Linked DNA regions of Sus scrofa. The protein of the gene in region 5 binds, or shares a complex with, the protein of the main gene of each other region. Links are inferred from orthologs where the notes say so. Each region holds a gene or a part of one and is shown on either strand. Other genes may lie near its edges. The genes, in order: STAC3, CACNB3, CACNB1, CACNB2 and CACNG1.

What was found.
Region 1: CACNG1 (region 5) and STAC3 share a complex: the UniProt entries of both Homo sapiens proteins name them as parts of the calcium channel complex. The link is inferred for Sus scrofa from reciprocal best matches to the Homo sapiens genes CACNG1 and STAC3.
Region 2: CACNG1 (region 5) and CACNB3 share a complex: the UniProt entries of both Homo sapiens proteins name them as parts of the calcium channel complex. The link is inferred for Sus scrofa from reciprocal best matches to the Homo sapiens genes CACNG1 and CACNB3.
Region 3: CACNG1 (region 5) and CACNB1 share a complex: the UniProt entries of both Homo sapiens proteins name them as parts of the calcium channel complex. The link is inferred for Sus scrofa from reciprocal best matches to the Homo sapiens genes CACNG1 and CACNB1.
Region 4: CACNG1 (region 5) and CACNB2 share a complex: the UniProt entries of both Homo sapiens proteins name them as parts of the calcium channel complex. The link is inferred for Sus scrofa from reciprocal best matches to the Homo sapiens genes CACNG1 and CACNB2.

The regions. Positions count from the first base shown.
Region 1 is NC_010447.5:22,553,528-22,557,686, reverse strand, and holds the start of STAC3 (SH3 and cysteine-rich domain-containing protein 3), read left to right. Parts: upstream 1-1,356; 5' UTR 1,357-1,688; intron 1,689-2,577; 5' UTR 2,578-2,676; coding exon 2,677-2,742; intron 2,743-3,020; coding exon 3,021-3,288; intron 3,289-3,530; coding exon 3,531-3,628; intron 3,629-3,842; coding exon 3,843-3,915; intron 3,916-4,159. UniProt on the Homo sapiens protein: Required for normal excitation-contraction coupling in skeletal muscle and for normal muscle contraction in response to membrane depolarization. Required for normal Ca(2+) release from the sarcplasmic reticulum, which ultimately leads to muscle contraction.
Region 2 is NC_010447.5:14,877,128-14,881,244, reverse strand, and holds the start of CACNB3 (voltage-dependent L-type calcium channel subunit beta-3), read right to left. Parts: upstream 2,803-4,117; 5' UTR 2,132-2,802; coding exon 2,087-2,131; intron 1-2,086. UniProt on the Homo sapiens protein: Regulatory subunit of the voltage-gated calcium channel that gives rise to L-type calcium currents. Increases CACNA1B peak calcium current and shifts the voltage dependencies of channel activation and inactivation.
Region 3 is NC_010454.4:23,044,688-23,048,199, reverse strand, and holds part of CACNB1 (voltage-dependent L-type calcium channel subunit beta-1), read right to left. Parts: intron 1,364-3,512; coding exon 1,241-1,363; intron 667-1,240; coding exon 530-666; intron 297-529; coding exon 220-296; intron 1-219. UniProt on the Homo sapiens protein: Regulatory subunit of L-type calcium channels. Regulates the activity of L-type calcium channels that contain CACNA1A as pore-forming subunit.
Region 4 is NC_010452.4:44,593,600-44,597,749, reverse strand, and holds the start of CACNB2 (voltage-dependent L-type calcium channel subunit beta-2), read right to left. Parts: upstream 2,806-4,150; 5' UTR 982-2,805; coding exon 763-981; intron 1-762. UniProt on the Homo sapiens protein: Beta subunit of voltage-dependent calcium channels which contributes to the function of the calcium channel by increasing peak calcium current. Plays a role in shifting voltage dependencies of activation and inactivation of the channel.
Region 5 is NC_010454.4:13,469,711-13,473,222, reverse strand, and holds part of CACNG1 (voltage-dependent calcium channel gamma-1 subunit), read right to left. Parts: intron 1,372-3,512; coding exon 1,297-1,371; intron 160-1,296; coding exon 22-159; intron 1-21. UniProt on the Homo sapiens protein: Regulatory subunit of the voltage-gated calcium channel that gives rise to L-type calcium currents in skeletal muscle. Regulates channel inactivation kinetics.

The DNA.
Region 1 (4,159 bases), on a different chromosome or scaffold from region 5:
AACGATCCAGCGTTGCTGTGAGCTGTGGTGTAGGTTACAGACGCGGCTCGGATCCCGCGTTGATGTGGCTCTGGTGTAGGCCAGTGGCTACAGCTGCGATTCAACCCCTAGCCTGGGAACCTCCATATGCCGCGAGAGCGGCCCAAGAAATAGCAAAAAGACAAAAAAAAAAAAAAAAAAAAAAAAAAAAGAATGCCAGATATCAGAGTTCCTGTTGTGGCTCAGCAGTAATGAACCCAGCTAATGTCCCTGAGGATGCAGGTTCCATCCCTGGACCCACTCATTGAGTCAAAGGATCCGGTGTTGCTGTAAGCTGTGGTGTAGGTCACAGACAAGGCTCGGATCCCACGTTGCTGTGACTGTGGTGTGGTATAGGCTGGCAGCTGCAGCTCCAATTTGACTCTAGCCTGGGAATTTCCATATGCCGAAGGTGCAGCCCTAAAAAGACCCCCCTCCAAAAAAAAGAATGCCAACTATCTCATTGACCCATCAGTTCATATGCCAGGACATCATCAGAAAGAGAAGGAATCAGGGAGTCAGAATGATGAAGGAAATGTGAGGCTTGGCCATCCTGTCTCCAAGAGTTTGCAGCTCCCATGAGGAAGGAGACTTACTTACAGATGATAAAAACTCCCAATGTGACAACTCTTGCCTTCTGTGCAATGTTAATGAAACCATCTCTGTGATCATTGGACCCTCACTCCCTCAGAGACCCTCAGGTGGAAGTCCCAGCCTGACTTTTTAAAATAGCTCTTAGAATTCCTTTCACCCTGAGGACAAGACTTTAGAGAAATAGGGAAAAGATCTCTGGGGGCAGCTGGAGGGAACAAAGCAATACTGCGTGTCGTCACTGCCTTACCAGATAGCAGCCACTGCTCATGGGCAGGAAGGCCATCTAGGAGATCCCTAGTGGCTCAGTGGTTTAAAGACCCGGCATTATCACTTCTATGGCTCTGGTTGCTGCTGTGACATGGGTTCAATTCCTGGTCCGGGAATTAATTTATGCATGCCGTGAGCACGGCCAAAAAAAAAAAAAAAAAAAAAAGGCAATCTAGTTTGGCTGAGCTCTGGAAATCCAAATTATCCTTTCTTGACCAGTTTCCAAGCTTTCTTACTGTTGGAGCCTAGATCGATGCTTGAGGGTATAAAAACAAGACAGGGACCACAAGAAGACAATGGCTAAGAAGTCAAAGGCTAGTTCCTAAAACAGGTTCAAGGAGGGGAGAATCGGGGAGGTATTGAGACCTTGGGGGAAAGGGGATGGATAAGGCTGTTTGTAAGTCATCTAAAATCAGCCACGCAAGTGTCCAGCATGGACACTGTCCCCTCCTGAGTTTAGCCAATGCTGAACTGCACACCGTGGATGAAAAACCAAGCAACAGCAGTGTGGGGGGATGGGAGGAGTTAGGGTCCAGCCCTGCCCAGACCTCCTCGTGTCCAATTTCTCTGTGTCAGCTGTGTCGCTCAGCTGTCCACTTTCCTCCAGCCCTGTCATTTCAGCTCTGACACCAAGGCGAGAGGCTAGGAGGTCTACAAATACCGTCTGGGTAGCTGGTGTGAGTACAGAGGGTACTGGGGGGGCTTAGCCCCCAAGGAAGAGGACCAGTCCTCCCCCAGCACCACCATCAAGACCCCAGGGGCTCCCTCTTTTCTCCACAGACTGTGGACTGACTTAGGGAATCCCAAACGTAAGTTGCCTCTTCATCCTCTTTGCGTTTCCAGGACTTCTCACCCCAGCTTCCCCAATCCGTAGTCTATTCAGCTTCTTCATTTCTCTCATTGTCTGTGAGTAGTTTGGGTTTTAGGAGTGAAATTATTAAGCTACTCCAGGACAAGAGTTAGGATTGAAGGGTAGGGTGGGGGTGGGGTCAGGGGAGTAGAGTAGTAAGGGAAGGAAAGTCTCATATTACTCTGAAAACTTAAAATAGCTGAAGCCTGAGGCAGGCTGGGAACTAGGGAACTAGGCACCGGGCCCCTGAGCTCAAGAAAGGTAGGAGAGAACAAATGTCCCCAGCCCATCCCTCTATGCGCACTTGTGGACATGCACATTAAACCTCTTGAAAGGGGATCTGGGAAGGTGTGTGTCACATTTCTAAAGCCCACAGATTCCCTTGGAGTTGCCATCATGGCTCAGTGGTTAACGAATCCGACTAGGAACCATGAGGTTGCGGGTTTGATCCCTGGCCTTGCTCAGTGGGGTAAGGAGCCGGCATTGCTGCGGCTGTGGTGTAGGCCGGCAGCTGCAGCTCTAATTAGACCGCTAGCCTGGGAACCTCCCTATGCCACGAGTGCAGCCCTAGAAAAAGACAAAAATAAATAAATAAAAACCAAAGCCCACAGATTCCCAAGAGAAACAAAGTGCTTGTAGGAAAATGCCTAAACCACACAGCCTTGTGCACTGTCTCAGGGCAGTAAACTCTGGGGTTGCCCATCAGGATAGAAGGATGGTCATTGGTTTAAGGAGTTGGTAGGGAAGTTCTTTTGTCTGTTGGGCTTTTCTCTGGGCCTTTCTGGAATCTTTCTGCTCCTTGCCCCTGTCTGTGAAAGAATCTCTGTTTAACCAAATTTCTCCCAAAGCCTCCCCTTCAAGGACCACCCTACTGCAAGGGACAGGAACAAGGGGGGAAGAATGTCATTCAGAGATTAGATTTCATAGTGAGGTCAACCTCTTGCAGGATGACAGAAAAGGAGGTGCTGGAGTCCCATAAGCCCTCCTTCCCAGGAGAGACTCGGCAAAGTGGGGTGAGTCTGGGCCTTGACCATGGGGTATGGGGAGCTGGGAAGCCACTGCAGTCTTGAAGAAAATTGCTTGAATTGATCTCACTTGTATACGATTCATGTATTGTTCAAATGCTAGCTAGCACCTACAGGCCCCAGGACCCCCTAATCCTGGGGTGTGCCCCTTGCCCCAAGCTTGAAGAATGTCTAGTTAGCTTCAGCCTGACCTACTCTAAAAAGCAAGACAGTTCCTTTAACACTGGGTTTCCTTCCTTCCCTCCTTCCTTCCTTCCCTCCCTCAGCTACAGCGGCTGAAGCAGTTATTTAGGAAGGAGTCTACAGGGACAAAGGAGATGGAGCTTCCCCCAGAGCCCCAGGCCAATGGGGAGGCAGTGGGAGCTGGGGGTGGGCCCATCTACTACATCTATGAGGAAGAGGAAGAAGAGGAGGAAGAGGAAGAAGAACCACTCCCAGAACCTCCCAAGCTTGTCAATGATAAGCCCCACAAATTCAAAGATCACTTCTTCAAGAAGCCCAAGTTCTGTGACGTCTGCGCCCGGATGATTGTGCGTGAGTCACAGAGGGAAGTGGAGAGTGTGATGCCAAAGGCAGGGGGCAGGGGAAAGGATTTAGGAGAGGAGTATTTGTACATCAGATAGGCTGTGGCAAGATTTAGCTTTAAGAAACTACTGCAGAGATGGAGAGTGTCAGGTCCTATACTGAAAAGGGACCTGAGAACTAGAGTAGCAGCAGTGTTAGGAAGGGAAAGGGCAATCAGGAACCTCACGCAAATGTTCTCCCCATCTCCCAAGTCAACAACAAATTTGGGCTTCGCTGTAAGAACTGCAAAACTAACATCCACGAACACTGTCAGTCCTACGTGGAGATGCAGAGATGCTTCGGCAAGATCGTGAGTAGGCTCTGGGGAGCAAGAAAGTAGAAGGGAGGGGACATGTTGCCCGCTACCTCCTTGCCGGTCCCTCCTCAAGGCATCCCATCCATTTCCCTGCTTTTTCTTCCTCAGCCTATCTTTTACTCCAAGAAAGGGTGGACGTTCATGGGAGAGGTGGGGTTTGGGGCTCTACCTTGTTATCTCTAATGCTTTCTCCCATCCCATCCTACAGCCCCCTGGTTTCCGTCGGGCCTATAGCTCCCCACTCTACAGCAACCAGCAGTACGCTTGTGTCAAAGATCTCTGTAAGTGCCCCATACAGGACCTGAGGGAATGGGCAAGCCTAGAGGTGGTTTCCAGATGTGGAAACAAAATTCTGAAACAGAAAGATTCTATATCCTGTGGTTCTCGCTCAACCTAGTATCTTGGCCATCTTGGATGCAGAGTCAGTATTCCTCTGTTTTATAGCTGAGGGAAATAAGGTTTAGCTGGGGCTCTACTCAGGAAGAGACAGAACCAAAACTGAAACTTTCACCCGCCTAACCTCAA
Region 2 (4,117 bases), on a different chromosome or scaffold from region 5:
AAAGGGCTGTCTGCAGTGGACAGGGGCCAACTGGCCGGGAGCAGGAGGCGAGGCAGGACGACCACTCACTGTGACAGGCTTCTTCCTAGATGCCTACACCTGCGCTGGGAGAGGAGTCTGGCCTGTATTCGCTGTTCTCCAGGCTCTCAGTGCAGTTTAGTCATTTCTGTGTCCCTGCCTGGGGCACCTGGGTTACCTGGCCTCTCACCCTCGGAAGGGGGACAGACAGGATCTCTTCCTAAATGTCTGACGGGTCGAGTGCTCAGAATGGAACCCCCCTCTCTGTTACTCCCAAGTCCCTGGGGCTCACCCATCGCTCATGCTCCAGTATCACTCAGGGAGGTCGGGGCTGCCAAGGGTACTCTGGGTTCTTGCCTCCCCCACCCCCTGTGATGCCAAAACAGCCAGAGGCTTGGTACTTTGAAGCTGCCAGGAGTTGGCACGGTGCCCTGGTGGTGCCCCCCTTGCCTGGGGAGTGTGTGGGCAGGCTGCAGCTCCACTCTTGCCTGGCACGGGGGAAGGAGAGGAGGGAGATGAGCCGTTGGATTTATTTAGAGCCTGATTTCCCTCCTACTGCTTCAGAGGGGGCCTCGGGGAGAGCAAGAAGCCAGGCAGGAGAAAGAGGAGTGGGGGAGGGTAACCCAGGAGCCAGGGAGGGATGAGAAGCCTGCGCCGAAGGGGGAGCGGGCTGCCCCCAACTCCACCTACATGTCAGTCTTCACCTTGCAGCAGTGCTAGCCAACTCGGGAAGGCAAGAACCTTCTAGGGCCCTCCAGCCCCACACAAAGGTGCATTCTCAAGCTCACCTTGGCACCCTGGGCCATGCCATCTGTCCCTTCAACTGTCAGAAAGAGGTGTCCACCAGAGCCTTGAAATTCATCTGCTCTAGCCGCAATGCAATTAGCCCCAGAGGCCCTACGGGAACTGGGCCCAGCAGGAGCCCAGTCCTGGAAAAGGATTGATAGCTGTCTATTCTGAGCCCTAGAACTCACCTACCCTGGGCTTGGCCTCGGGAGAGATGGGAGAAGGAAGACCCACAACAGGCCCCTTGCGAGCCTGGAGTGCGCTAGCCTCCACACCTGTGAGGGACCCCTTCCACGCCATCTAGCTGCTCTCATAAGGGCGCCTCTGGTAGGGTGTTTGAGGGAAGGCACTGAGATGCGGCTGCCCTCCCGTGCCCCATCTTTCCAGGCACTGTCCCTGCTCTCTGAGCTCCGGGAATCACTGCCTAATGAGCTGATTTGTCTCAGCAGGTCAGGAGATAAAAGCAAAGAGGAGAATTAAATATTTATCAGTTGCCTGGTTCTCTGAGCAAAGAGCTTCCTCTCTATCCCCAGGCCCTCAGCATCTCTGGCCTCCCCTCCAGGCCCTCCATGCTGAGCCCCCCACTGCTCTGAGGCTGCCTCAGCAGGAGGAGTCGAATGGATGGGGCTCGGTCAGCTGGCCCACTCGTGTGCTGGCTGCCCAGTTTTCAGCCTGGGAGAGAAGCTGGGTGTGAGGCAGGGTGAGAGATAAGGCCACGCTCAGGGATGGACAGCGCAGGGGGACAATGGAGTCCTCAAGTTTCAGGATCCTCCTGTCTGAAGAGGCTGGTGTCGGATTCTCTGCTGTCCTAGAGGCTCCCTAATTTGTCCTTTACTTGAGGCACAGGAGGTCTGGAGGGTCCCCCTCTGCAAGAGCCCCAGTTTCTCCTGTGGCTGTTATGTTCAGACCCCACAAATCACCCCTTGGGAACTCCAGACATTGCAGTGAGGCCTCTCTAAAGCCTCTGGGCCCTCTGCCTCCAGCCCCTCCTCCCTCTACCCTTCTATCCTGGGCTGTGGAGCCACCTGCTCTGAGCCCCCCCCCCCAACTAGCCCCTCTCTGCACACACCCGACGCCCCTTGCTCTAGGACAGGAGCACTGGGAGCCTCTGGCATGAAAACCCATCTCCCCACTTTCCTGGAGCGCCCCCCCCCACGCCCTGCCCCGCCACAGAAGCGGGTTTTTTTTTTTTTTTCCCAAAGTCCTGAACTGGGGGAAGGGTCCAAGAGAGAGAAGGTGTCACCCCAACTTCCCCACCCCCACCCTCCCCGTAGGCACTCACCGCCTCCGAGTCCTCAAACCCGGGCACGTAGGAGTCGTCATACATGGGGGAGTCCGGATGGGGGGGGAAGGAGCGGCGCCGGGGGCGGGAGCGGCCCGGAGGCAGGGGTGAGGACAGCGGGCCGCGCCCGGGAGATGCCACCGAGCCCCGCAGCCCTGCGGGCGGCGGCGGAGGAGAGCGGGAGCACGCAGGAGGGAGCGAGCCGCGAAGACCAGCTGCTCCGAGCTCAAATCACCGCTTCCCCCCACCCCACCCCCCCAAACCCTGCCGATCCCACCCCGAGCGCCGCCGAGGAATCTGGCGCCGGCTCCTACAACAATAGTGCCCGCCCACCTGACCCCCCCTCCCTGGGAGCGGGCGGGGGTGGCGGCGGGGGGCGCCGGCCACTGGGGAGCCCGAGAGCCGGCGGGCAGAGGGTTGCCCGCAGGAGCTGGCCAGAAGGTGGGTCCCCTAGCACTTGCGGGGCAGAGGGGCGGCAGGGAGGAAGGGGAGGAGAGACTGCGGGCGGGGCGGATCCAGCCTTGCAGGAGGCGGGGCGAGGAGAGATGCGGAGACAGAGACGCTCGGCAACCCAGGAAATACTCCGCCGGGAAACAAAGGGCTGGGGCGGGGGAGGGGAGGCTGCGCCGAGACGGCAGGGAAGCCGAGACCCCGGCGAGAAAGGAGAGGGCGCCGGCTACCGGGCGGTGGGAAACGGAGAAGGGAGGAGGAGAGGCACAGGGAGGAAGTGGGGAGGCAGGAGCCTGGGGAGACGGAGGGAGACGGAGGGAGACGGAGGAGGCGGGGCGGGGGCGGGCGGCGGGCGGGGGAGGGGCGGCAGGTGAGAGGGCGGTGTGTCTGGGCCCTGGCGGCCCGGGAGACTCCAAAAGCAAACCCAGCAGTGGCACCGGGAAGGAATGGGCTTAGCGACCCCAGGCCGTGGCAAGAAAGTAGCCTTTCCCCACCCCAGGCGCTCGGCCCTCTCCGTGTTGGGACTTTGGCAGCAAAGGGCCTCGATGCCCAAGCGGTGCGAAGGGGGAGGTTTGGGGTCCCGCCGCCCCACACCTGTTGCGCGGGCAGATCTCATCCTCGTCTGGCCAGGATGGGGGTTCCCTTCCTCACTTCCCTGCCAAGGGCTGTGCGGGGCGTTGCCAAGGCATCCGTGGGAACTGGGGTAGGGAGGGGCTGTTTTAGGCGAGCCTAAAGGGAGAGGGAAGAAACCTGAGAGCAGAGGTAAGGGGATGGCTGGGGCTGGGGCGGAAGGTGGGGTCCGGGGCACGTTTCCCCCTTCAGAGTCACTAGTGTGAGGCCAGATCCCCTCCTTGGCAAGAGGATGGAGGTGGGGTGGGATGGCCAGTATCCTGCTTGGAGCCGCTTAACCAGGCAGTCGCCTTCAAAAGGGCACTAAGATTTGAGGTTAGAACTGAGCAGCAGTCCTTATCTTCAGGAAACTTCCTCAAAGTTCCACCCATTTGAGTTCCTTCCTGTTTTTTTTTTTTTTTTTATCTCCTGAACAAAATTATCCCCTTGAATTTTGATTGCCTACCTACTCTCCTCCACCCCATCCTCACCCCCAGGGATGCGCCAGGGAAGATTACTAGAAAGCTTCAGAAGCTCAGTCCTTCTCCTTTTCCACTGTCTCACACCCAGGGGGGTGAATCAGAAATCTGCTCACGCCTTCACCTTCCTGGGCTACCGGGGAATTAGAAAACCAAAACTCTGACAGGGTTGATGAGACCCATGATGGGAAGCATTGTGCCTTCGCGAGAGAGGAAGACCCCGCCCCCCAAAAAAAGAAGCCCCAACTGGCTTCTCACTATGTCACTTGTTCACGTTCCCTTAGCAAGAAAAAGAGGAGCCTCATCTTAAGACATCTTTAGTCTGCTTTAGTCTGTCCACACCCTGTAAGTGGTGCAGTCCAGCCCTGCCCAGCATCTTCCTCCTGCTGGATTTGGCAAACAACTTTGTTAGAGCCCCCATGGCTCCCTGTTGGGGGGAGGGGGGCAGTCTGCTTTCCCAGGTCCTTCTCCTGAGTCCAGCACCATTTGGGGG
Region 3 (3,512 bases), about 9.6 Mb from region 5:
CACTACCAAAGAAATGGGGAGCAGAGTCATGAGCGAATGGGCGCTGCCAGGCCCAGCTTGTGGGGTGTCCTGCTCTTCAGGGAGGGGGGACCACTGGATGTGTTTGGAGGTCACAGGATCGGGGTGCTCCCTACCGCAGGGAAAGGAGGGGACAGGCCGTGGGGAGACCAGCCCGCCCAGGAGCTCCATCCCACCCCGTGGGGTGACGGCAGCTCTTACCACTGACAGGGGGCGTGGGGCGGCGGGTGCCAGTCACCACATCTCCCAGACTGGAGCTGGAGTTGTCACCTGATTTGCTGTGTGGGCAGAGAGGCAAATGGAGCCGTGAGCAGAGAGGTAGGCGGGAGGGTGGGGGCTCTGATTCTCTCTCCCGCCCCAGCCCCCAGCCCCACCCCAGGGATTCTCCAGCTCCACTGGTGATGCCACAGGCAGCTCTTTGTCCTCAGGGCAGCGGGTCAACCCTTGGGGCCCACTCCTGGCTAGACAGCCTCTCCCGGGGGTGGGGGCGCCCTGCCCCCCAGCCGGACACCTGGAGCTGAGGCGGTTCTGGCGCAGCTTCTGTTCCTGCAGCAGGCGCAGGCTGTCCAGTTTGACAGGGCTGGGGATGAAGCCGACCTCACAGCCCTCCTTCACCAGCCGCCCGATCCACCAGTCGTTATTGTATTTCTGCAAACAACAACAGCAGGTGGGGTGGGAGAGACCAAGAGGGACATGAGAGGTACCAGCCAGCAGCCAGCTTCAAGGGACCGCATCCCCCGCCTTGCCTACCCTGCCCAGGGGGTAGCACCCTCAAAGAGCCCAGGCCTGGCTCCAGCCTCTGAGTACAGCCCCCAATTCTCAGGCTCCTCTGGAACCAGCATCCTCGTGTGCCACGGACCACCCTGTCCCCAAGCACGTCCCTGCCCTGAGAGACCTTCCTCCCCACGTGTGCCAGCTCTACCCTGGAAAGGCAGGGAGAGAAGGAAATGCTGACACCTCCTTGTGCCTGGCACACTGCCACTCTGCTGACAGGTCTCGTCGCAATCCCTCCCAACAACCGGGCGACCTAGGCATCACCATCCTGTTCTACCAATGAAAAATCTGAAGCTCAGAGAGGTGGAAAGATTTGTCTAAGGTCACACAGCAGATTTAGCCCAGCTCTGCTTGGCTCAGAAGTCCTATTCCACCAGAGCTCTGGCTGCCCCTCTCCTAGCACCCACTACCCTGCTCTCCCCCCAGATGCCAAGTGGTCTCTCCCCACCTCTTTGATGTGCAGGAAGTCCTTGGGCTCGAAGGTGATGGCCACTCCCTGCACAGGCACCTCATCCCCTGGAGATGGGTTGTAGCCAACATTTGTCCTCACAGCAAATGCCACTGGCTTGGTCTGGAGGAGGACCACAACCAGAGGGTTAAATCACGACACGATGCACAACGTCCTGACTGGGGTGGTGATTATGGAGATGTTTGTTTGGTAACTTGCTTATTAAAACATATACTGTACACACTATCATACATAAAATAGATAGGACCTACTATACAGAACAAGAAACCATATTCAGGAGTCCCCGTCATGGCTCAATGGTTAACAAATCCGACTAGGAACCGTGAGGTTGCGGGTTCGATCCCTGGCCTTGCTCAGTGGGTTAAGGATCCGGCGTTGCCATGAGCTGTGGTGTAGGTTGCAGACACAGCTCGGATCCCTCGTTGCTGTGGCTCTAGTGTAGGCTGGGGGCTACAGCTCCGATTGGACTCCTAGCCTGGGAACCTCCATATGTCGCGGGAGCGGCCCAAGAAATGGCAAAAAAAAAAAAAAAAAAAAAAAAAAAAAGACCAAAAAAGAAACTATATTCAAAATCTTGTAATAGGAGTTCCCGTCGTGGCTCAGTGGTTAATGAACCTGACTAGCATTCATGAGGACATGGGTTCGATCCCTGGCCTCGCTCAGTGGGTTAAGGATCTGGCGTTGCTGTGAGCTGTGGTGTAGGTTGCAGACACAGCTCAGATCCCACGTTGCTATGGCTCTGGTGTAGGCCGGCAGCTACAGCTCCGATTAGACCCCTAGCCTAGGAACCTCCCATATGCCGCGGGAGCGGCCCAAGAAAAGGCAAAAAGACAAAAAATAAATAAATTTAAAAAGAAAAATTTTTGAAAGAAAAACATATACTGAATGGCTTTTTATGTGTATATTAAATTTCACAATTAAAAAAAGAAAGCAAAAAATTCCCATTGTGGTGCCATGGAAACAAACCAAACTAGCATCCATGAAGGTGCAGGTTCTATTCCTGCCCTCGCTCAGTGGATTAAGGACCCGGCGTTGCCATGAGCTGCCGTGTAGGTCGCAGACGCGGCTCGGATCTGATGTTGCTGTGGCTGTGGCTGTGGTGTAGGCTGGCAGCTCTGATTCGACCCCTAGCCTGGGAACCTCCATATGCCTCTGGTGCGGCCCTAAAAAAACAAAAAGAAAGCAAAAACTAGAACTCAGTCCTTTGAAGGTAGAGGAGGGCATCAGGGAATGATCAAGTACAGGGGGTGGAGGAGCCCAGAACGACACCAAGAAGGAAGAATAACAATACGAATAAATAACAGTAATAATAATGATAGCCGCTACTGTTTAGAGTGCCAGGTATTTTTTTTCAATGTGTATGTATATGTTCTTTTTTCTTCCTTTTTTTATTAGAGTATAGTCGATTTACAATGTTCTGTCAATTTCTGCTATATAGCAAGGTAACCCAATCATCCATATATATACATTCTTTTTCTCATATTATTTTCCATCATGTTCTATCACAAGTGATTGGATGTAGTTCCCTGGGCTGTACAGCAGGACCTCATTGCTTACCCATTCTACCAACCCCAAACTCCCCATCCATCCCACCCCCACCTCTCTCCCACTTTCGCAACCACGAGTCTGTTCTCTATGATAGGTTGTAGATAGGTTGATTTGTGCCATATTTTTTTTGATAGGCAAGAAATACATTTATTAAGATGAGATACTTATGAGAGATGCAAGCGGGCAGGCAAAAAGGCTGCCCTGAGGATTAGGTGGGCTACATTTTTACAATCCAAGGGAAATCCACTGTGCTATATTTTATTTTATTATTTATTTATTTATCTAGTCTTTTTGCCTTTTCTAGGGCCGCTTCCCATGGCATATGGAGGTTCCCAGGCTAGGGGTCGAATCGGATCTGCAGCCAACGGCCTACACCAGAGCCACAGCAATGCGGGATCCGAGCCGTGTCTGCGACCTCCACCACAGGTCACAGCAACACCAGATCCTTAACCCACTGAGCAAGGCCAGGGATCGAACCCACAACCTCATGGTTCCTAGTTGGATTCGTTAACCACTGCGCCACGACAGGAACTCCCCATTGTGGCATATTTTAGATTCTACATACAAGTGATATCTTATGGTATTTGTCTTTCTTTCTGACTTACTTCACTTAGAATGAGAATCTCTAGTTGCATCCATGTTGTGTGCCAGGTTTTATATGTTTCACATCCATTATCTCATTTATCTATCATCAAAACCCTAT
Region 4 (4,150 bases), on a different chromosome or scaffold from region 5:
GTAAAAGAGCAATGGCTACTGCTTCCTTGTTTCTAAGATAAAAGGAACAGAACAATATCTCCAAGTAATGTACACTCTGCACATCCTACCCTAAAAAATCAGACCCAGTGCCCCCCTCCCCACCCAAGAAACCGACACTGTCTTTACTAAACCTAAAGAAGTCTGAACTCACTCTGTGGAGGAGAGGGATAAATTAGGATTGGGGAGTGACATATACACATTACTGTATATAAAGTAGATAAACAACAAGGACCTACAGTATAACACAGAGACCTCTTCCCAATAGTCTGTAATATCCTTTACAGGGAAAGAATCTGAAAAAGAATGGATGTATGCATATGTATAACTGAATCACTCTGCTATACGCCTGAAACAAACACGATATTGCAGGTCGACCAAACGCCCATAAAAAAAAAAAAAAAAAAAAAGAATTCTGAAGTTAAAAACATCTTGAAATCACAATCTGGTCTTTGTATTAACACATTTTAAGTTCCATGTGTAGAGGCGAATACGAAGCAGCTTAAAAATGACAAAACAAGCCAAGGGTTTGCGTCCTATAGTTTACATTTTCGCAAGCACACCCTCATGCTTTTGCCAAGGGGTTTCCAACACGTATGAGATAATTATAGGCTCTTCTGAGGCAAATCCTTTACGAAAAGTTCTCCCAAACGTGAAACCACTAGATGTCTTTATGTTCGCCAATGATGTGTTTCTGCTTAACAAAATGTGTTTCGAAGAAATCGCAAATCATCGTCTACTTACCCAGGAGACATTTTTACCCTTCGGCGTCTTTTGCATGGCAACCTGTAATCCTGAGGTGGCCAACAGCAATGTCACCAACATGGACAAGCCAGTGAAGTCTATTCCAAGTGTCTCTGTTACCCAAATGCAAAAAGTTCCCTGGATTGCCAGACACAGACATCGTAAGTAAAAATAAAGATCACCTTCGGATGACCCATTTTTCTTCGCTGGACTAAGCATGTAAACGCACACATACCAGATCACGGGCTCTAATCACCCAGCCTATGGAGGCAGAGGCTGCCACATGTGTATCTTCTCTACGACTGCAAGATGCAGAGTGGAGTATTTCGTTAAAAACAAAAACAAAAACACAAGACTTGACTCCAGGTGGAAATGCTCAAAATCACAGAGAAATCCGTCCCTCTGCCGCTAAAGTGCAATTTCCAATGACTCCCCAAGACCAAGAGTTCACAAGAAGCTTGGGAGCGATGGCTTATAATTACTTAGCAAGAAGAAAAGTGAAAGCAGGTAGCATTTAGAAGACTGTCCAGGTCAGCTGCTGGTGGCATCCATTTTAAGAGGCGCCTCACTTCAGGGCTGCCCAGAGGATAAAGAGAAAGCAGAGCTCAGTTTCAATAAATAATACATAGTCTCAGGTACGGAGTGTACCTGGAAGTACCTTCTGCGCAGCCTCACGCCAGAGGGATCTCGCTCCGCAGGCCGGCGCCTCCCCGTGCACTTGCTGTTGGTGAGGCTGCTTTGTCAAAGGCTGGTCTCCTAACAACCAGGAACATTTGTTTATAAGGGAAGAAAAATAGAAGCCCCAGAGGGGAGCAAATGAGAAGCCCCAGATGGAAGAGCGAGGCTGGGCATCAGTGCTGGTCTCCTCCCCTTGGTTCTGTGTCCTTGTGTCCCGTTTCTTTTACCTCCTGTCAATCTAGATTTACTAAGCCGATCCAGGCTAAATTTTGCTACTATCAGTAGTGATTAGTTTGAGTTGATGAAATCGGATTATACAGGCGGGCTTCTCTGCCTTCTCTCTGGGCAAAGCCACACCAAGCGATTGGAAAGCCTGCTGTCCTTCTCGTCACCGGACTGAAGCGTTCTGGAAGGTTCTGCCAGAGGGACTATGCTCACAAGAGAAAAGCCTGGCCATCTAAAGCTGCTCCAGATACAACTGGAGGGGGAATAAAACCCGCTATGTCACTTTTGACTTTGGTTTTCATCCAAGTTCTAATGTTCTCTCTGATAGAAAGTTAGATTACCACAGGAAAAAAGTGCATAGCATTTTTCCATGTCATCAAAAATTACTGTTCCCCAGCAGGGTAACTACTTGGATCAAGCGATGGAGGTCATGGGAGATTACGGAAGGGCTTTGACTGCAAAGTCACTTTTCTTGAACATCTGTTATATGCCAAGAAGAGTCTGAAGGAATGGGTCTACTCTCAGGCCAAACAACCCTGGAAGTAGGCATGAATATCACTGCTTTAAAGAGAGAGAAATGAATGTGTAGAGACGTGAAATAGCGAGAGACGTCTGAATGCATATTTAGAGAAATGAACATTTAGAGATGTTTCTTCCTCCTCTCAACGGCAGGGGGGATACATTAGGGGGTTAGGACTGACATATACCCACGACTGTATTTAAAATGGACAGGACCTACTGTATAGCACAGAGTAATCTATTCCGTATTGTGTAATAACCTATGTAGGAAAAGAATCTGAAAAGGAGCAGATATATGTATACGTAGAACTGAGTTACTACGCTGTACAACTGAAACTAACACAACTTTCTAAGTCAACGATACTCCAATAAAATGTATTTTAAAAAAGAATCCTCTCAGTGAAGATCTACTGAGCCAAAGCAAGGCTGCTGAGATTCCTCTCAATGAAATCAAATGGCACCTGGATTTTTTTCTTGAGATCTTTCCCATTCTACCATAAAAGAGTATTTACACACATATATATACACACGTATACACGTATATATGTGTGTGTGTATATATATGTCTTTTCAGGCATATATACATGTATATATATACACACACATATACACGTATATATATGTGTGTGTCTTTTCAGGGGTACACCTGCAGCATATGGAAGTTCCCAGGCTAGGGTTGAACTGGAGCTGCAGCTGCCAGCTCACACCACAGCCAGAGCAACACCAGATCTGAGATGCAGCTCCACAGCAACACTGCATCCTTAACCCACTGAGCGGGGCTAGGGATCGAACCCACATCCCCATGGATATTAGGTGGGTTTGTTACCGCTGAGCCATAATGGGCACTCCTAAACACATATTTTTAATTCTTCCAGTTTTATTGAGGCGTAATTGGCATACACCGCTGTGTAAGCTTAAGGCGTACAGCACAGTGATCTGACTTACATACACCAGGAAATGATTACATGGGTTTCGCGAACACTGTCATCTCACATGGATATTAAAGAAAGAGTGTGATGAGAACGCAAGGGAAACAAAAGCGAAAATAAACTGAGTGCCTTTAAGGACTCCATGTTGTTCTTAAGCGTCTAAGAATTCTCTGGAATTATGGTTCCTACTTATTTTGAAAATAATTATGTTGCAGGGCTCCTCTTAAGAAGTGTTTTAAATCAAATTTTTGTAAAGTATAAAACAGCTAATGCGGGGCTGCACCGCTAACCACCTAAATATCAGTGTTGCGAGCAAAGCACCTGACGATTTTATGCGGTACCTTCAACAGGTACATCAATAATACCTGACATTCCCTGAAAATATTCTATGTGGTTAGTATGTTACCTTTTTTATCTTACTCATAACTGACAACAACCTTATGAGGTGGATTTCAAATTTGTTGGATGATTTGGGAAGAGTTAGTATTAATCAATACTGAATTGTTAAAAACCCTGACAGTCCAATAAAAATTACAGATATGAACAAAAGTTTCAACTCATTCAGGGTCAGAAGAAAAATTAAAATCGAAGTGGCGATAAAAAGAAAATTTTAAATGAAAGATTTCTTTATTTTGAATACTCTCTGTGTGTGTGTAAATTTCATCTGCCTATGAAGCTAGAAGCTCCCTAAGGACGTGGTCCTCGTCTACTCTTTTATCTTCGGGGAATACAGGACTCATGGTTGCTCAATGGCTGTTGTTGACTAATTAGTTGCTGTTCCATTATGAATTTTATTTATTTTTACGGCCGCACCCACAGCATATGGAAGTTCCCAGTCAGGGACTGAATCTGAGCTGCAGCGGCAGCAATGCTGAATCCTTTAACTCACTTTGCTGGGCCAGGGATTGAACTCATGCCTATATAGTGACCCAAGCTGCTGCAGTTGGATTCTTAATCCACTGTGCCACAGCAGTAACTCCTATCACGAATTTTAAGTGGTTCTTTGAATACAATTTTCTGTTAAATTTTTTGGCAGT
Region 5 (3,512 bases):
GGACAGGCGCCCTCAGCGTACCTGCGAAGGCGTAGAACATGGACGCCGGCCTCAGCAGGTAATCCCGCTTCTTCCTGAAGGACAGGAGCCCGCAGATGGTTCCCAGGATGATGAAGCCGAGGCTGAAGATGGCGATGGCGGCCGCCGAGATGCTGTACTCTGCGACACACAGAAGGGGCAGAGACGCCCCCAGGCGCTTCAGAAGGGGCCTCATCCCCTGCACCTTTTGTCATTGCTGGTTGTGCCTGCAACCAGGTCAGCGAGGGTGCCACATCCAATGATTCCCATTTCCCAGGTGAGAAAACTGAGGTTCCAAGAGCCCTCGTTCAAAGGTAGGTAGTGGGTAAGGGGTGGGGCCAGGATGTTCTCCTGAACGAATTCCTTCTCCCAGGTCTTCCAGGCCCTAAACTGAAGTTCCTCCCTCCAGGGTCAGAGGCCCTGGAAGGAGGCGGGAAATGTGTGGCAGGAGGCCTTTCAGGAGCAGAAACCTTCCTCTGAGTGACAGGTCAGAAGGTGGCACTCAGGCTGGGGATGGTCTGTCCTGGGACTGACACGCCACCTCTGGAAGGAGGACAGAGTGTGACTTGTTACCCAGCTCAGTATGTGAGACGATCTGTGTGTGTGTCCGAGTGGGTACATGTGTGTGCCTGTGTGCGTGTATGCAGGTGTGTACATGCATGCATATTTGTGCATGCATGCATGTGTGCATAGGTGTGCACGTGTGCACGCCTGTGCTGTGTGCAGTCGTCTGCACCCGTGCCGATGCGGGGCTGTGCTTAGGCCAGAAGGGAGCCCTGGAGCCCCATGGTTCCCCAAAGGCCCCCCCAGGGCCCGAGTGCTCCAGGGGCCCCTCCTGTTATCCGCCCGAGTCCCCACCTTCTTTGATTCTCAGAGAGTGATTTCTACTCAGAAGGGCTCCCTACGGACTCTGACCCATTGGTTCTGAAAACCATCACCAGGATCTTGCATCCTTGTTTCCAGAGCTCCTGTCGCAGCAGCATCCCTCGGGCTCTGTGGGAAAATGAGCTCCTTCTGCCACTTGGGGAGCTACCAGGAACCATGTCTTTTACGAACTCGCCTGAGCTCTGAGGAAGGGACTCTCAGGAGCCCTGGAGACGGAGGGCAGCTGTCTCGGGAGCACAGAGGGTGCCCAGGCTGTTGCTCAAACGCATCGGGAGGGGCTGCCTGGTGTCAGAGCGGGGACGTTGGGGCTTCAGTGCCAGGTGATTTTCTGGCTCAGCAGCGGGTGACGGGAGCCACGCTGCCACCCCCTCTCCCATCTCCACGCGGGCTCACCTTTCTGAGTGGTGACGTGGAAGATCTCTGAGGTCTCGCCCGGGTTAAAATGCCTGAAGTAGGAACAGTTTTTCTCTGCAAAAAAGGGAGACAGCCTATGAGTCAAGAGAAGGGACCTGCAGCCGGGGCACAGGCTCAGCAAGAGAAGGCGGGTGTGAGCCCCCTGGGGAGGGGGGGAAAGGGCGCTTCTGACTGGCTCCCTGCTCCCCCAAACCTGACTCTGGGCGGAAATAAACATCTGTCTCTGACCTTCACCCACAATTTCGGCGCGAAAAGGAGGTTGCGTAAGAGACTGGCAGATCTTCAGGGAACTCAGGCTGACTGAGTCCAGGGGCAGAGAGCACTGGGGTACTGGGCCCATTAGGCAGATAGGGTAACTGAGGCCCAGAGCTCACGTTCTATGTTAGGGGGTGCAGGACACGTGGTCAACCAAGGGCCAGACAGTGGTTCTCAGCCAGGCCTGATTGTGCCTCCAGGGGACACCAGGCAATGTCTGGAGACATTTTTGGTGTCACAGCTGGGCAGGGGCTGCTACAGGTATTAGTGGGTAGAGGCCTGGATGCTTCTGACCATCCTACAGTGCACAAGACAGCCCCCCACAGCATATAATGATCTGGCCCCCAAATGTCAGCGCCAAGGTTGAGAAACCCTGGATCACATCCTCTCGAGGGTGGGGTTTTTATCAACATCCAGGCCCACCCTGAAGCACTGAGGGTGCCCTGGGAAGCAAACAGGGTTTTTCAAAAGCATTCCAGGAGATTCTGAAGCTCAGTCAGGTTTAGAAGCCAGACCCCTTAAAATGCTCATTTTCTGGGGAGCATTTTCCGAGTGGCCGTCTCTGGGATCTGGATCTGGATCTGGGTGAAGGGTAGAGAGCCTCTAATCAAGGGACAAATGTGACTGTCACATCATTTCATCAGGCCCTTGACACCTGCGGCCACAGAAGCAGCCCAGATAAGGCCTCTCAAGGAAGCTGCCTGGTCCACCTGATTTGTGTCAGAAAAGCCATAGCTGATCCGTGTTGGCAGTGGGACCGAAAATCTGGATTTGATGGGGACAGGGGAAGAACTCAAAACAGAGAAATTCATGCTGATTTTCAATATAATGTCTCTTCCGTTTTTCTCCTGTAAACTCTCTAATAACTCAACACACTATAGAATCAGAGGGTGGTCTTATCGCTTATTGGATATAGTTTGATAGTCTTTACTCCTGACTTAGGAAGTAGATGACTGGGTTATTTTATACTATTTTGTTTCTTAAAAAAAAAACAACAACAACAACAAAAAAACTAAATTCGGTTTTGTTTGGGTGAGACCGTTCATTGAATTATTTTTCCTGTGGATCCTTGAACCTCCGTAGAGAAATAGCTCTGCTCCTGGTTTAGCTGGCATCTGGTTTGTGCATTCATTCATTTCTTTACCTTCGGGCTACGTTCAAATTGTCGCCAGGTGATTGATGCCTCGTTTCTTTTGGAAGCACACCTGAGGTGCTGCTGAAGCCAGAGTTTTCACTGGGGCGCAGGCCTTCCTTCCGTCTGACCCATATCAGCTCCTTGCCGTTGAAGCCTGTGGCCTCCCACTCTCCCCGCTCCCCTAGGGTCAGGCTTATTGCTGCTCCCACAGTTGAGGATGCGCGTGACCCCAGAGACGGAGCCTGGTTTAGCAGCAGTAAATGTTCCTCTATATTTAAATCACGTTCCTTCTGAACTGAGTTACCTGGGTGTGTGGCTGCCGCTGGTGACATCAGAACTGATGCTCTCCCACAGCTTCTGGTGCTACTTGAAAGCATAATGCCACCCTCTTATATTTGTTAGAGTATTAGCTATAGATTCTCTCGAATCACTGCTTCAAAATGGCTCGTGCAATGTCGCAGAACTCCCAGTGTCTCCCTCTGGATAAAGGAACAATTTCTGTTTCATTCTTTCAGGGCCAATTTCGGGTGTCATTGAAAACCCTCTAAGAATTGGCGGAATTCAAGTGTATTTCACGGTCAGCTGCCTCCCTGACTACTCACAAGCCGAGAGTTAAAAGCCTTCGGCGCCGAGGGCCTAGAGATGAAGGCCCGTGGAGAGCCTGGCCCAGGCACAGCTGTTTGGCACAGGGGCTCACAGGGGCTCCTCTCGTGCAGATAGTGTTTGGGGTGTCAGTTCCCACCAGACAGACACCAGGCTTCGTTCTGGACAAACCACTGCTGTGGGGCGTTTGCGTGAAAACTGC